Linked DNA regions of Callithrix jacchus. The protein of the gene in region 2 purifies or fractionates together with the protein of the main gene of each other region. This does not show direct contact. Links are inferred from orthologs where the notes say so. Each region holds a gene or a part of one and is shown on either strand. Other genes may lie near its edges.

Region 1 (3,746 bases), on a different chromosome or scaffold from region 2:
CATGGTGGCATACACCTGTAATTCCCAGCTACTCAGGAGGAAAAAGAAAAACACCATGAGGGTAGAACTGATGACTGATTAAAACGTGTAAAAAATGTAATAGAGGCTAGGAGCTTCGGGAACCGCGGCTTGGGTGCAGACATGGCCAAGTCCAAGAACCACACCACACACAACCAGTCCCGAAAATGGCACAGAAATGGTATCAAGAAACCCTGATCACAAAGATACGAGTCTCTTAAGGGGGTGGACCCCAAGTTCCTGAGGAACATGCGCTTTGCCAAGAAGCACAACAAGAAGGGCCTAAAGAAGATGCAGGCCAACAATGCCAAGGCCATGAGTGCACGAGCTGAGGCCATCAAGGCCCTCGTAAAGCCCAAGGAGGTTAAGCCCAAGATCCCAAAGGGTGTCAGCCGCAAGCTCGATCGACTTGCCTACATTGCCCACCCCAAGCTTGGGAAGCGTGCTCGGGCACGCATTGCCAAGGGGCTCAGGCTCTGCCGGCCAAAGGTCAAGGTCAAGGCCAAGGCCAAGGATCAAACCAAGGTCCAGGCTTCAGCTCCAGTTTCAGTTCCAGCTCAGGCTCTCAAAGGTGCCCAGGCCCCTACAAAGGCTTCAGAATAGATATCTTTGTCTGCCAATGCGAGGACAGAAGGACTGGTGTAACTCCCCTGGGGCTGCCATCTGCATGGGGCTGGGGTCCTCCTGTGCTATTTGTACAAATAAACCTGAGGCAGGATTAAAAAAAAAAAAAAAAAAAAATGTAATAGAGTGCTGCTGTGTAAGATACAGTCATATGCTTTATTTCATTTAAGCCTGACACAACCACCCTGTGCCATAGGCCCACTTTTCCTATTTTACACATGTGAGCTTTGTCTAAGATTATTCAGTGAGGCAGGACCCAGAGTCCAAGAGTTCAAGTCCAGACCACACCACCACTTAGTAGCAAAGTTGCTACTAAGAGCATGCAGTCCTGCAAACCAACGTTACTAAAGCACAATAGGAACACTACAGGCTTCCGACACTCACTTTTGATTGGTCAGATACCGATCCCAGCCACGAATAATATTGCCATACATCTGAGTGTCTTCCAAGTAGCTTCCCTCAAAAGCATAGATCTGTCGCTCCAAGTTTGCCAGTGTTTCCTGAGAGATGAAAAACAGGGACATGAATAATGTCTTGTAAATGCAAACACTTAAGTCTCAACCCAAATGAAATCCTGATATTAGATTTGTAAACGCAAGCTTGCCCATGCTACCCTTGTGGAGAGATTGATGATACGGTGACGGGCAGGACATTTAGGACTCTAAGCCAGTCTAGACCTTTAGGGATGACGGACCCCTGAATGTATAAAACATGTCCCCAGAAAAACACACACACACGCGAAATGTTGCATATACTTCGGAGGGTTCACAGAAATCCGGAGTCAAGAACCCAGGCTAAGGCAGAACTTGGGCGATGTCCACTCCCACGCACAAAAGGTATCGCTACCAGGGGAGGGGAGGGTGAGCAGCCTTTCAGCGTCAACCCCCTCCCCTGCTCCCCTCTCACAGGCTCAGAGAGGCCGCCGGCACTGGACTGCCAGTTGCTATGGAAACCTGGAAGGGCAGCTTCAGGTGAGAGGGGCCTCCCGGGTGCTCAAGCTGAGACTCGAGGGCAGGAAGAGATTAGCCACCAGGGTGCATGGGATCCTGGGTGCCTGTCACCATTGCGAATTCTCCAGAATATGTTCTTTTTTCCCTAGCCTGTCACCTTCTAGATGCTCCCAAACACATCACATCCCTATCAATCAAAAACCTCCATTCAACGGATCTACTCCTAGAACCAAAAAGAACACGCTCCCCACCATCCTCTAAAGTCCAGACAGGGTGACTGGAACCCCCTCCCCGACCTGCCCCACCCCACACCCCGCAAAGATCACGGACTCGCCCGCTTCGCCCACCACCGCGGCTCACGGACGCTCGCCCTTCCTAACGCCCGAGCCCCGAGCCCCGGCACCATCCTCCTCCACGCCCCCTCCTGCGGCTGCCGGTGCCCCTCCCCCTCCCGCGCTCCGGGCTCCCGGCTCCCTTCCCGCTCCGGATTTGCACAGCCCGGAAGCCGAACTGCCGGCCGCGGAATGCGCAAACCGCCTTAGGCCGCCGAGCTCCCGGCCCGCCGCGGCGCGCCCCCTGAGTAACGAACGGCCTTGCGCGACCAGGCTTGGGGCCTGGAGGCAGGGCAGGAGCGGGGCCCCATACCGGGCAACCCCGGTCCCAACCCCTCACCGCCAGCTCCTGCTTCCGCTTCACGAGCTCCGCCAGCTCCCGCCGGGTGTCGGGGATCTGCGGCGGCGCCGCCTTGTTGTGCATCGCCATGTTGTGCTGAGGCGGGCGGCGGCAGCGGCGCGAGGCTGGGGGCGGTCCCTGCGCCACCAGGGGGCGCCCCCTCGCACTGCGCCTGCGCGCGCGGCTTCCGGAAACCCGCGCGGCGGCGCGCTCCCGCGGGGACTCTCGAACATCCTGCCCCGAGAGTTCCACAGACTTGGCCCTCTGGTCTCGACCCTTTGCGCCGTTTCTTGCCCCTCGGCTGGCCGCCGGCTTTACAGAAACCGCACATCTACCGTGTCCAAAGCCGAGCTCGTCCTCAGGCCTTGAAGTCCCCTGTGCGCCCCACCTCATTCCACCTTGTGAATGACTTGCACTATCCGCCGAATTGTCCGCGTCAGAAACCTGGTTATCCTCACTGTCCACCCGGAGTTAAACGTGATCCCAGCTCAACCCCTATGTTCTCGGTTCTGAAAGAGCTCGCAAGTCCATTTGCTTGTGCCTACCCCTTCTGCCACCTCCCTAGGTCATTCAGGCCCTCCCTGTTTGGGGTTACACTATTCCAACAGTTTCTTTTTTTCCACCCTTAGCTCCATTGAATCCAGTACCCGCAGTGGTGCCGGGATCTTCCAAAAACAAATGTTATCACTCCCCAGTTTAAAGTCTTTCAGTGCCTTCCCATTTTCCCATTGCCCTTTGGAGAGACAAGTATGTGTAGTGGTTAAGGGCACAAAACTAGAGCAAGAACTACCTACCTCTACATCGATAAAGTGTGCCCTTTTGGGCAAGTAACCAAATCTCAACTCCCTCATCTGTAGAATGAAAGCAGTAGGCGGGGCGCGGCGGCTCACACCTGTAATCCCATCACCTGAGGTCAGGAGTTCTAAACCAGCCTTGCCAACATGTTGAAACCCCGTCTCTACTAAAAAATACAAAAAATTAGCCGGGCGTGGTGGCGCATGCCTGGAATCCCAGCTACTCGGGAGACTGGGGCAGGAGAATTGGTTGAATCTGGGAAGTGGAGGTTGCAGTGAGCTGAGATCGCACCATCACACGCCAGCCTGGGCAACAAGACTGAAACTCCCATCGAAAGAGAGAAAGAAAGAAAGAAAAGAGAGACGTAATAGAATATACCTAATACAGTTGCTGTGAGGAGTAAATCACCTAATCTGTGTAAGAGGTTTGGCAGGTACCAAACTGCAAGTACAAGTTTGCTTTTATTGTTAAATCCAAGGTGTAAATCGTTTCACTTGACCCTCAACTTCTCCCACCTCAGCGCTCCATCTTTCACTGTTCTGCGATTTCACTATCATAAGTCTAAGTGGGATATTTTTTCTTCTTTTGTTTTGTGTCTTGCTTGGAAGTCTTTAGATTTCTATGATCTGTAGGTTGGTATCTTCCACCCGTTTTGGGAAATTGCAGTCATTTTTCTTCAGACGCCTG
Region 2 (3,646 bases):
CAAACATAATACATACATGCATACTCACACATACATCATTAAATATGCATACATGCATACTCACATGCATAACCACACAAATACATGTACATACATGCAGACTCACACATACACATGCATAATCACATGCATACTCACACACACACAAGTATATCGGCTCTCCCCCTTTTCTCTTCCAGCTCCACTCTCCTTCCCCAATCCAACTCTTGGGCAGAGGTGTTTATCATGTATTCAAAATGCCAAAAATATCTCCACTATTTCCAAGGTACCCAGCCAAATCCCACCAGCTGTCTCATGACCCACCCTCCAAATATTTTTCTCTTATACTTTGGATTCTTGAACACCAGTCGAAGCGATAAAGAAAATAGAACCACTGGGCTTGTTAAAAAATGAAAAAATTTTAAGACCGCCTTACTGAAAGAAGTATTTATCAGCCAAAATACAAACTGACTTTGCCAAATGAGGTCATTTCTTTAAAACAAATGGCTGACACAGTATGACTATGCTCTTGGAGCTTATGTCTGTACTGAGCTGCTGTTTTTTCTGCATTCAGAGAGAAGCCATTCCAGTGCCTCTACTCCCAGAATTCAATGAGGAAACCAAAGAAGAGCCTGGGGCCTGTGCTGATATATCCCAAAAGATCCAAACTTAACCTGAAGGTCCCCCCATCAGCCACACACAGCACTGCAGGCCTCTCTAATCCTGACTGTCTTGATGTCAATCAATAACATGAGGCCTAGAAATGAACTTCTCAGGTCGAGTTTTAGGCCACATGAACAACAGTATGCCATCTATATTGCCTCCTTAATTTCCCTATCTCATGACATCCCACACTTGTCTGTACGTGGACATGCAAACGCAGACAGGCAACACGTTTACACAGAGGTGTGCAAGTGCTCTTTCATACACACACTCATGCATGCAGTGCCATGAAGAATCAGATATCCAGATTATGATCCAATCAGATGCCAGCATACACAGGAGCACCTCATGGATGCCCCTCTACCCAGGTGTTCAAAGAGTCTCTTGTTTTTCCAAATGCAAATGCATCAACATGTCCCCTTGATTACTAACAGGTGTGTGCACACTGTGGAAACCTGCAGTCTCAGGAGGCAGCCACAGAGATGGGCCACCATCTGCAGCTATTCTTGGTGACTGCAGGTGGGAGGGTGGCCAACTCTAAAATGCCATGTCAAGGAACATCTCACTAAGACTCCTAGGAGGTGTCTGCCTGTGGAAAGAAGCTGTGATGCTTTGGGCAGAAAGTGGGGAGCGAGAAACAAACTAGAACCACCTCCCAGCTCAAGGGAACTTCTCAATTACCCTGTGACTGTGAAAGCTTGGGTTCTGGTTACACCAGATACAGTCAGCCAATTAAAGGTGTGCGTGCGTACTGGGGCTCAAGTCAACCCTTAGGAACCTCATTCTGCTTCCTGGAACTAGTCCCCTTTCCAAACCCTTGGAGAGGTCACATAGCCTTCCCTCATCCTGCTCCCTACCATGCAGGAAAGGAAAATGAAGCCATTCTTATGAAGCTAATTACCTGAATAGAGGCCCCAAACTTCTCATTGCAGAGGCTGCACACTAGCGCCCACCGACTGCTGGGAATGTGCGACACTTTGGTGATGGGCTCCATCTTCTCTGGGCTACCAATGCTCACCTAAAGGTCGGAAAATAACAAGAAAGGGTGGCACAGGTCATCAGAGGCGAACATGAATGTTAGAAACTAAAAGATCCATTACTTTCCTACATCCCTCCTACCAGACAGTGGCGAGGGATACTCACTCACCTAGAACAAAGCAAACCCTTACTTTAAAAGCCTTAGAACACCTCAGTGACAATCAAGCCCAGAGCCTAGTCGCTATCTGACAGACATCCCTGTTTGTAAAAAAAAAAAAAAAAAAAAACACTGAGATAACTGAGTTTTCACTTCTCACCAAAGTGCCTGATGACAAAGATTCATGTAATCTCTAGCCCATAACAAGTTGGTCAAAACTAAAAATCCATCTTAAACATATTCAAATAGGCTATCAACAACAGGGTAAGTAAATATAACCTGTTTTTAATCTCTCGCCAAAGAAAACCATTTTCTTCAGTCCAAAAAATGACTACATTCAAGATGGGAAATTACAAAGATAAATAAGGTATCATCATCTCTGCATTCAGCCTGGATCACCGAATTGTATCCCATCAATACCAAACCACAAGACCTGGTGCTACCAAGACCTCAATCATGAAACCTTAATCCAAATCATCCTCAAATAATTTTCCCTGGAAGGAAAACGTACCAAAATCACATCAAAAAAAATACTGGATTTTGAATCACAAATTATATTTTCACACTGAGCTATGCAAACTTTATTAGTCAAGATCTAAGACTAGAAATAAATTAGACCAGACCTGATATTAAAAAAGGATGAGGCACAATAAAGGTATAAATAAAAATCACCAAAGCATGACCAAGAGTGGTCGTTTTTTTAACCACAGTGGTACCTCATGGTACGTCACACCACACACAGGATGGACAGCTGATCTTGGGGAATGACACACCCAGGCCACAGCTGGTTAAGTGCTGCAGGTCTGCTCCAGGGAGTGGGTGTTGTGATGGGAAGGCTCGCTGAGATAGATGGGCGAGGCAAAGTTTGACCATCACCAACTTACAGTCCCAACTGACTGCTGCTTCCCGCTAACATTTCCACAAATTTACATTCCATGACAAGATGACAGTGTGCTTAAGATTCAGTTTTTCCCAAAGGAATAAGGTAGCAATTAAAAGGTGTCTTTTTACTCATCAGCTACAATGCTGCCTATTTATGCATGGTTCTCCACCCACTCACCGAATCCCAGTTAAAAGTCAGGACCTTCTGAGCTAAGGTGCTATTAAGAGCCATGCATGGCTGGGCGTGGTGGCTCATGCCTGTAATCCTAGCACTCTGGGAGGCCAAGGAGGGCAGATCACGAGGTCAGGACATTGAGACCATCCTGGCTAACACGGTGAAACCCTGTCACTACTAAAAATATGAAAAAAAATTTGCTGGGCGTGGTGGCATGCACCTGTATTCCCAACTACTTGGGAAACTGAGGCAGGAGAATTGCTTAAACCCAAGAGGCAGAGGTTGCCATGAGCCAAGATCGCGCCACCGCACTCCAGCATGGGCGACAGAGAGAGACTCCACCTCAAAAAAAGAAGGACCATGCCTGGCCAGGCACAGTGGCTTATGCCTGTAATCCCAACATTTTGGGAAGCTAAGGAAAAAGGACTGCTTGAGCCCAAGAGTTTGGGATCAGCCAAAACAACAAAGTGAGATGTCTTCACTACAAAAAAACAAAAAATAAGCAAGGCCTGGTAACACAGGCCTATAATCCCAGCTACTCAAAAGGCTGAGGTGGGAGGATAACTTGAGCCCAGGAGGTCAAGGCTGCAGTGAGCCATGATCCAACTCACTGCACTCCAGCCTGGGTGACAGAGTAAGACCCTGTCTCAAGAAAAGTAAAAACAACAAAAAAGAACCACACTTACCTCAGGGATCCACAGGGCACAGCTGACATGGACCCACTTGGTTCCACTACGAGTGGGCTTCATAGCTCCACCCTTCTTGGGACACAGCAGACATCTTGGCCGAACCCCCAGGGCACATGTCCGGCA

The links. The genes of interacting proteins can lie anywhere in the genome.
Region 1: the proteins of JADE1 (region 2) and MEAF6 purify together in Homo sapiens (affinity purification with mass spectrometry; 5 studies listed by BioGRID and IntAct, counting the BioPlex papers as one, with this or other methods). This does not show direct contact. The link is inferred for Callithrix jacchus from reciprocal best matches to the Homo sapiens genes JADE1 and MEAF6.

Annotation. Positions count from the first base shown.
Region 1 is NC_133508.1:74,066,708-74,070,453, forward strand, and holds the start of MEAF6 (chromatin modification-related protein MEAF6), read right to left. Parts: upstream 2,363-3,746; 5' UTR 2,355-2,362; coding exon 2,265-2,354; intron 1,143-2,264; coding exon 1,027-1,142; intron 1-1,026.
Region 2 is NC_133504.1:68,419,260-68,422,905, forward strand, and holds part of JADE1 (protein Jade-1), read right to left. Parts: coding exon 3,521-3,646; intron 1,661-3,520; coding exon 1,544-1,660; intron 1-1,543.